Oryzias latipes: one gene and its partner. The protein of the gene in region 2 interacts with the protein of the main gene of each other region in a biochemical or structural test. Links are inferred from orthologs where the notes say so. Each region holds a gene or a part of one and is shown on either strand. Other genes may lie near its edges.

The links.
Region 1: of the proteins of sik2 (region 2) and CREB-regulated transcription coactivator 2, one has a biochemical effect on the other in vitro, tested with the Homo sapiens proteins (2 studies listed by BioGRID). The link is inferred for Oryzias latipes from reciprocal best matches to the Homo sapiens genes SIK2 and CRTC2.

The regions. Positions count from the first base shown.
Region 1 is NC_019874.2:32,400,728-32,405,215, reverse strand, and holds the start of CREB-regulated transcription coactivator 2, read right to left. Parts: upstream 2,856-4,488; 5' UTR 1,949-2,855; coding exon 1,775-1,948; intron 1-1,774. Other genes in the region: olgc2 (membrane guanylyl cyclase), read right to left, coding at 3,886-4,031, 4,237-4,335. UniProt on the Homo sapiens protein: Transcriptional coactivator for CREB1 which activates transcription through both consensus and variant cAMP response element (CRE) sites.
Region 2 is NC_019871.2:15,494,915-15,498,725, reverse strand, and holds part of sik2 (serine/threonine-protein kinase SIK2), read left to right. Parts: intron 1-30; coding exon 31-155; intron 156-650; coding exon 651-774; intron 775-3,811. UniProt on the Homo sapiens protein: Serine/threonine-protein kinase that plays a role in many biological processes such as fatty acid oxidation, autophagy, immune response or glucose metabolism.

The DNA of each region.
Region 1 (4,488 bases), on a different chromosome or scaffold from region 2:
AGAAACGTTTAGGGATAAGCTGCAGATCATGAATCTGGATTGAACAGATCCAGAACCCGACCCGCAGTTCTTGTAAATTCAGACTGATCGTCATGACAACAGCAGGCCTCACTTCAGTGATGTCATTTCCTGCCAGGAGGCCAACGACCACATCGCTGACAACACACCATCAAAGTGAGAAAAACGTCTTTCCTGCTTGAAGCTGGTAGGAAACCAAACTGGAGCCAGTTCATCGAGTAGCCACTAGGGGGCTTGTTAGGCAGTGCAGTCCGACACTAGCATGTCAGTAGATTATTACGCTTTAGTCACTGAAGCCTTTTCCTTCTATTGGAGAGGACCAGTACTGACACCCAACCCTGGGATTTGAACCCACATCGAGCAAATGACAAGAGCTGGAGCTCCGGCTTCACTGGGCCCCTCCAGCATCAGATGCCTGACTCCCCGCTTTAGGCTCTTCCTCAACAAACAGATGACCTCTGACCTTGGAGCAGCCATGGACCCTATCACAGTGGAATGAAGCCACGCCCCCTTCCTGATGGAGCTGGGCTCATTTGAACCTGGACTGTCTCAGGAGCGAGGCAGACGTGCGTTCGGTGAGCCCAAACACTCCAGGTGAGCCCGAACACTCCAGGTGAGCCCGAACACTCCAGGTGAGCCCGAACACTCCAGGTGAGCCCGAACACTCCAGGTGAGCCCGAACACTCCAGGTGAGCCCGAACACTCCAGGTGAGCCCGAACACTCCAGGTGAGCCCGAACACTCCAGGTGAGCCCGAACACTCCAGGTGAGCCCGAACACTCCAGGTGAGAGAGGAGGAGGAAGGCCGACTGGTCTTTAGCTCAGGAAAGAGCTAAACGCTGAGGGGCTGCGCCTAACGCTGACGCTGTAACAACCACATTTCCCAAGCTGGGATCAATAAAGGAACTTTATCTTATAAACTAAAGTAAACAGAACACATGGGTCGACCCGTGGTCCTGCTCAGACACAGCACCGCTGGGGCACCTCAGGTGATGCAGCAGCTTGACCTCTGTGGGGTTTGAGGCCTTCAGGTGAACGTCAACAACCGGCTCAGGACCACAGAGAGGATCCTCCTGATCTTGATGTCAGGAGACTCTGAAGCTGCAGAACCACGTCTGAGTCCAGACCTGGTGAACTCCTGCTGGAGGACCCCCACCTGGTTCAGTCTGCTCCCAGATCGGTTCTGCTGGATCCAGACGCTCTTCAGCCATCAGAATCATTTAGAGGAGCTGTGACTGTAGCTCAGCCTGAGCCGTCGGAGACGTCCAGCTTCCCACCGGCACCGACACCCGCCGTTCACACCGGCGGAGCTGTGAAAGCTGCCGCCTTCCTCGGCCCTGCAACGTCGGCCAACCGGTTCGGATCAGCCCGACCTCCGTCCGCGCTGAGCTTCGGAACCAGCCGGGACGGAGAGGGACTTGGCACCCACAGAGAGGCAGGGTGGTACCGGGGGTCCGGCGGCGCGTCCCCGGCTGACGGCGGCGTCACGTATCACAGTAAACAAGCCGAGCTAGCATAGCGGCTAACGCGGCTAGCGCTATCGGAAGCGACGAGTTGCGGCTCCGCGCGCTCCGCCGACGCTCCAACTGCGACACAGCGCTCGCGCTTCCCGCCGAGGACTTCAACTTGACAGGTTCCCAGACAGCGGGCACGGAGCCGCGCGCGGTCAAACGTAGCTGTGCGTGGGAGTCTGCGAGCCTCCGGGAGGCCTCTATTCCTCCGCGACTCTCCTCCTCCTGCCTCCGTCTCCGACTCACCCTGGTCGAAGTGATGTCCATCATGACCTCCTGGAAGGCGGCTGTTTCCTCCGCCTGCCGTTGGGTGTGAAGCGCTATCTTCTCGCTAAATTTTCGGGGGTTTGAGGCACCGGACCCAGTTCCCGAGGCGGGTCCGGGTCCCGGTCCACAGCCGCCTGTACCCGTCGCAGACATCTTCCCCGAGCGGACGGGACGACTTGACGTAGTGGAATGATTTTCACCAAAGAGGGGCTGCTAACGAAGAGGGCTCACTCCGTGGCCATTTTCAAAGAACTGACCGAGCGGACTCCCTCTCAACCTCAAAACCCAGAACCATGTCAGCATTTCCCGGGTTATCGATTAGATTTCCAGATTTACTTTTGACGGATTGACAAATCCAGTCTTCAAAAGGAAGCTGGCCTCTTATCACCAGGGACTGGAGAAATCCACAGAAATAATGCAGACTCAACGTATGTTTGGTTATACAGACTGCAAATAATGCCATCAAATGTTTGTTTCTATATTCCTATCAGACAAAAAGCAGTGAACTTTATCAAGGTAGGCACTTGTGCGCATGTGTGAGGAAGTCGAATCTAAATGAACTTTTCCCCCCGATGAACTGGATCAGGTGAGTCCGGTTTCTGACTAACGAAACACACCTGATCGAAATAAGAAACAGCAAGTAGGAGAAGGTTCCGTGAATAATGAGGACAGCAGCTTTCGATGAGCCTAGATGTCCAGCATATGAAACGTGAACACCCCGACTAATCCAGCGTAGTGAGTCATCATCCTACAGACGAGCTTTGTCCGATTGACACAGGCGAGGGAGCTCCCCCTGCTGGCGAGCGGCCGTCAGCGCAGCGGTGTCCTCCTTCCGGCAGTTCCGGGCCTCATTCATAAAAGTCTGTACGCACAGAAAGTCGCGTGGAAATGTGCGCTAAAGATGCGCTCTTTGGCCAACACTGGACTCGAACAACTGAAACCTGAATCTGGTTTTTGCTCCCAGTCTCCCTCTGAGATGAGGAGACGAGCATCAACATGTGACACGTTGCTCCACATAAGAGGCAGTTTCCATGGAGATGAACATGCAACATTTGAGCATCTTCTCCACTTTACTGGATTGGACAAAGATTTGAGTCTTTTTTATGAGATGGGGGGCGGAGTCTCAGGCCAGCAGAACTGTGATCTGAAATCATCCCTGCTGCTAAATGACAAAGGAACATTCACACGTCTTTATTTATTCACTCCTTCAGATTAAATGATCTGAGGATTGTTTCTGGGGGGCAGACATCTGTATTTATGTGATGGAAAACCTTTCGAATGTTATCAGAAGATAAGCTCATCTGTTCCCCCACAGATTTCACCTCTTTCCTGTGTGTTTGGAGCAGATGCTGGGTCTCTGAGGACTACCACAATAATACCACATTTCAGATGGTCTTTGAGCTTACTATGTTGCTTTTTTCAAACCATAGAAGTTTGGTTTGATCTTTAAATAATCTTCTTCTGCAGTTTACCAGCTAAAACATAGTTGACTTTACATTTTTCCATTTCACTCAGCATGTACGAAATATCTTCAAAGGAAAACCTGAGGTGTTTTCTTCAAGTTGGATCCTTTTGCTCTAAACTTTCTTGTTGAGGTTTTTTCTGACACAAATGACGGTGATGACATTTCATCCCAAATTCTAATTTAAAGACAGAGAAACATGAGTATTTACAGAGATGAGCTGCACAGCAGGATGAAGCCTGGAGCTCCTCTTACGACCCTCTGCTGCCCTCTGGTGGCGGATCAGGGACCTGCAGGACCACAGCGCCACAGGGAAAACAGCTTCTTCACCTGTGAGCTGAAGTTCTGCTGCTTTCCACCATGAAAGGACGGTGATCGTGGAAGCAGCAGATGCTGCATCACCTGACTCACTAGTCTTCAGGTAAGCAGAACCTCCCTCAGAGTCAGAACCCCCCAAGTGGATCAGAACTGCTGCAGAAGGAGAGTCAGTAACCTGCTGATCTTCTCCTGCACTCCTGACCTGCTTCTGTCCAGGAACACAATTCTGCAGAACTTTGGCCTGTTTGAGGAGGTCAGTCACTTTTCCTGCCTCCTCCTGGATCTCCTTCCATCTTCACCTCCTGTCATCTCATTGGCTGTCACTTTCTCCCAGCAGCCAATAGGTGGTCATCTTTCCTTTGCCCTTGATGTCGATGTCTCCTCTGAGTTCCAGCTGAAAGGAGTTGAACTCTATCAAGACGTCCCGGGTGGCAGCAGACACGTGGATCTTCAGTGCTGCACAAACACACACACGCACGGATTAACAGCAAGTCAGGGTTCCATGTTTTACATCAGCTGATTTCATGTTTTTTGTGTATCTGCTGAAGCTTCACTGAGCTTGGGTTCACCGGGTTCCCCCCGGGTTCCTCCCCGGTTCTAAGGGTTTCTCAGCTGTGTGAAGTGACGGCTCCTCAGGTGTGATCAGAGGTTCTGCACTCACCTTCTCCGCTGGACTCCATGCGGGAGGACGTGTTGACCGTGTCGCCGAACAGACAGTACCGTGGCATCTTCAGACCCACCACCCCCGCACACACGGGACCTGCAGAGGAGGAACCTGAAACTGAGTGTTCCATCAAAGACCAGCAGGAACCTGAGGCTCGAGGGCCATTCTGTCCTAAACGTCTGGTAGTTAGGACGTTCCCTCTCAAGGTTCTAGATCTACAGCAGGGTACGTGTGCAGCGGGGGGTCAGG
Region 2 (3,811 bases):
TGCTTACTGTTGGTGCGTCGTCCCTTGTAGATTTTGGATTTGGAAACTTCTTTAAACAAGGAGAGCCTTTGGCTACATGGTGTGGCAGCCCGCCATACGCTGCTCCAGAGGTCTTTGAAGGACAACAGTATGAGGGCCCACAGCTGGACATCTGGGTAAGAGAATTTCTTTTAACCAAAACGACAGCTCCTTCACATTCTTGTGCTTAAATTCCCTTCTTTTAATGGGAGTGATCTACTGTTGGATCCATTTAAAAAAGCTATGTGAAGTCAATTAATGTAATTTAACATTTTATTGGCAAGATGAAGATGGAGCATCGGTCTTATGTGTGTCTTTACTGACGTGATCCTGAAAGAAAATAAAAACCTTGATGGTTTACAGGTTTTATGTTGAAAATAAAATAAAAAATGATTACCGGGTTATAATGATTAAGAGCTAAACAACCACGTGATACAAAGGTTAAGGCCAAAGACAAAAGCATCATGGGAAAAAAATCTCAATCTTTTTTAGAAGAGGCTCAGTAACATTAATATAATTAAGAGCAACCGGTGAATCTTTCATTCAGAAGGGTGTGCGTGGATGTGTGAAAAAATAATTGTCATCTCTGATTGGTCTATTGATTGCTGCTCCCTGTATGCATCTGTTTCCAGAGTATGGGGGTGGTGCTTTATGTGCTGGTGTGCGGGGCGTTGCCCTTTGACGGGCCCAGTCTGCCTGTCCTCCGACAGAGAGTCCTAGAAGGAAGGTTCCGCATCCCATACTTCATGACTGAAGGTGAGCGGACACAAGTTTAACTCGTCCAGAACTTTATTACAATCAAGGCAAAGTTTGTCTGGGTTTAGGCATCACATGTATTACCTGGAAGCCATACTCCTCTGCCTTCTTTTGTTTAAAGTGTAGCTAATCTGAGGGGAGGATTTGTGGTGAACTATGAGGAAAGTCCTGCAGAAGGGATGATGCTAAGAAATGGGTTATTGCGGAAAAGTCCAGTAATCGTTGGTTTGAGGTGAAAGATAGAGGTCAGGTTCCATGTCATTTGAAAAACAGTCTTTGATCAAATGGCAAGCATCGCCAGAAGTGCAGGTTTTTGCCAATTGAAATGTAACTTCTCAGTTTAACTACCTGACTTTCACATCACATTTTTACACATCACATTTTTTTTCCTTCTCTGAGGTTGTGTTGCAATGTCATTTCACAAAATGGGTGTTACTTAAATTCTACTTTTCAATATAGATTGATGTTGATGCATTAAAATGTCTAGTTTAGCTTTCAATTTTGATTTACTGTAGATTGGTAAAACTGACCTTTGTATTACTCATACAAATTACCTGCTGGCGTCTTAAGCTCTTTTCTAACTAACTAGTACAGGTAAGTCCAATATCAAATATTTTGTAAAACTTCCCTAAAAGTATCAATCTTTATAGTATGGCACCCTGGATTTACAGTCACATCTGTCAGTTTTTTTCTAAAAACACTGAAAGTTTTTGTGAATCATTGAGTTTTTTCATGTTAAATTATTTAAAAAAAAAAGGGCATGAGTCATCGTACATGTTTTTGACTTTGAGTCACTGTACTGTTGAATGTTTACTGGCACCGTCTATCATGGCTAAAGTAGTGAGCAGGTCGTTTGATCACACAGAACAGTATGCTTTAGGATGGTACAGCATTGGGCACTCTGTCAAAATAGCTGCGTTTACATGGACAAAAGTAATAGGAAAAAACGCCTGATCGTAACAAAAATTCGTCATGTAAACACGCCGCTCGGAATACTCTGCCCCGATCTGACTCATTCGGATCAAAATTTCTTTGCGATCGAGATAGGTGGGTTATGCTGATTGTTGATCCGATCGTTTTGCATGTAAACGGTTCATTCTGATCGTGCGTCGCTACTGCTCTGGTTTAACATCACGCATTGAAGAAGTTTCACTCCAGAGAAGGCTTTGGAGCACAAACAGGACCAACCGGCTGCTCTGCAGACGCCTTGTGTTAAGCACTCTTCACCCCTCACGAAGTGGGGTGCCGGGGAGGAGCGCTTCGTGCCCCCTGACGTCTGGACCCTGCGCGGTCCAGGCTCGGGTGCCGGTGGACCGAGCGAACCGTGTCTCTGCAGAACAGAACAGACGGACTTATAACTTTGTGTTTGAGGGGAGGGGAGGATGCTTTGTTACGTTTGTGCTATGTGTGGGAGGCTTCGGGCTGCGATCCGTCCCGCTGCTCTAGGTGAACGAGCTGCTGGACTCAGGAGAACAGTGTCTCCCGGTAGAAATGTGTCTCTGAGCAGAGCTCGGACTTCCAGCTCACACAGCGGCTTTGGGGCAGTGAGCTTTTCAAAGCAGAAATGTCGGTCAGTCCTTAGAAACCGTTCAAACAATCACGTGGATTTGTGTTTCCAGTCATGTCCTGACTAAATAAAGGCTGATGTTATTCCCACATATTTTCGTGCAGCCTAGATGCAGATTGTGGCATTTCCCGCATGGATTTTGTGTTCATCAAAGAAGGCTAATGTTGTTAGCGTGTTAGCTTTCTCTTAACCCTTCTTCCAGCTCCGTTCCACAATAAACAAAGCACTGACCAAACCGATTCAAAATAAAAGGATGAGCGGACATGCTCTTCATAATAACTATAACAATAATAAATGCACGTTTAGAAGATCATCTTGTATATTACTGAACTGCCAGATATCTATGTTTGTGGCAGCTCAGCTTGTTTACAGCGAGACTCATTTCCTCTTCCGGCGCACGTGCAAATTATTTATTCCAGACGAAAGTGTGGCCCATGTAGACGTTTTGTTTTAATCGGAAAAAGTTTTTCTGGGCCCATTTACACGGTTGAATTATAATCCGATCTTTGATCCGATCAAGATATTTTGCACATGTAACCGCGGCTACTGACTGCTAACATTTGCAGGGGTCATGTGTTACATGCAGGAGTGAGTCAGGTCATATGACTGTCTCAAAGCAGCCCCGCTGTTAGCAATTGTGCTAGCTTGCAGGCTGGAGATTAAATCCAGAGCACGAGCTGTTTATGTAATCTGGGGGACAAGGCAGCAAAGCCCTCCTGCAGGCTCTTCCAGGAGACCCTCTGTATGTCTCGTTGACTCCCACTGTCTATGAAATGTCTTCCTGTTTGTCTATTTGCTCCTCATGATCGAAGTCTCCGTAAGGGGGAGTGCTGGAATTCATGTCATTTCTTCTTCTTTTGTTCCGAGCCTTGAAACAATTAGGAGACGGGGAATGTGAGAGTGTAATGTCAGTTCTTGGCCTAGACTGACAATCCAACCCGCCTTTCCACCCTCACTCCTGCCCCTGTTCCCCCCCCCAAATGTGAAGAACAGAGTGTTCTCATTTCTTCTACTAGAAACAGACCTCATTTCCTCCCATTGCTCTCTCTGGTCAACTCTGTGGTGCAGGGAACAGACTAGCACCTCACTCTAAACTCTCACTAGAACATTTTAGTCCAGTGAATGCTGTGGTCAGGCACTGATCAATGACCTTTTCAGTTTTTTGCATACCTTTGCATGTCTCTTCTTTATTCAAAGCTTCATAGGGACTCAGGTTGTCTATGCATTCAGTCATGTTTTAATGGTTGCATTTGAAAACTTTATTTTTAAGCTTTGGTGTGATTTATATACACTGAGATGCATATATGCAATCATAAAAAGTACTTTTCTCTAGTATGTCTTTGGACAAAAAAAAACCTTTGACCCATTGCATCTCACTTGAGAAGATTGCACAAATGTTTTTATTTATTTATTTTTTATTGTTTTTATTAGTAAAATAAAAATGAAGCAGATAGATTAGATTTTATTGCT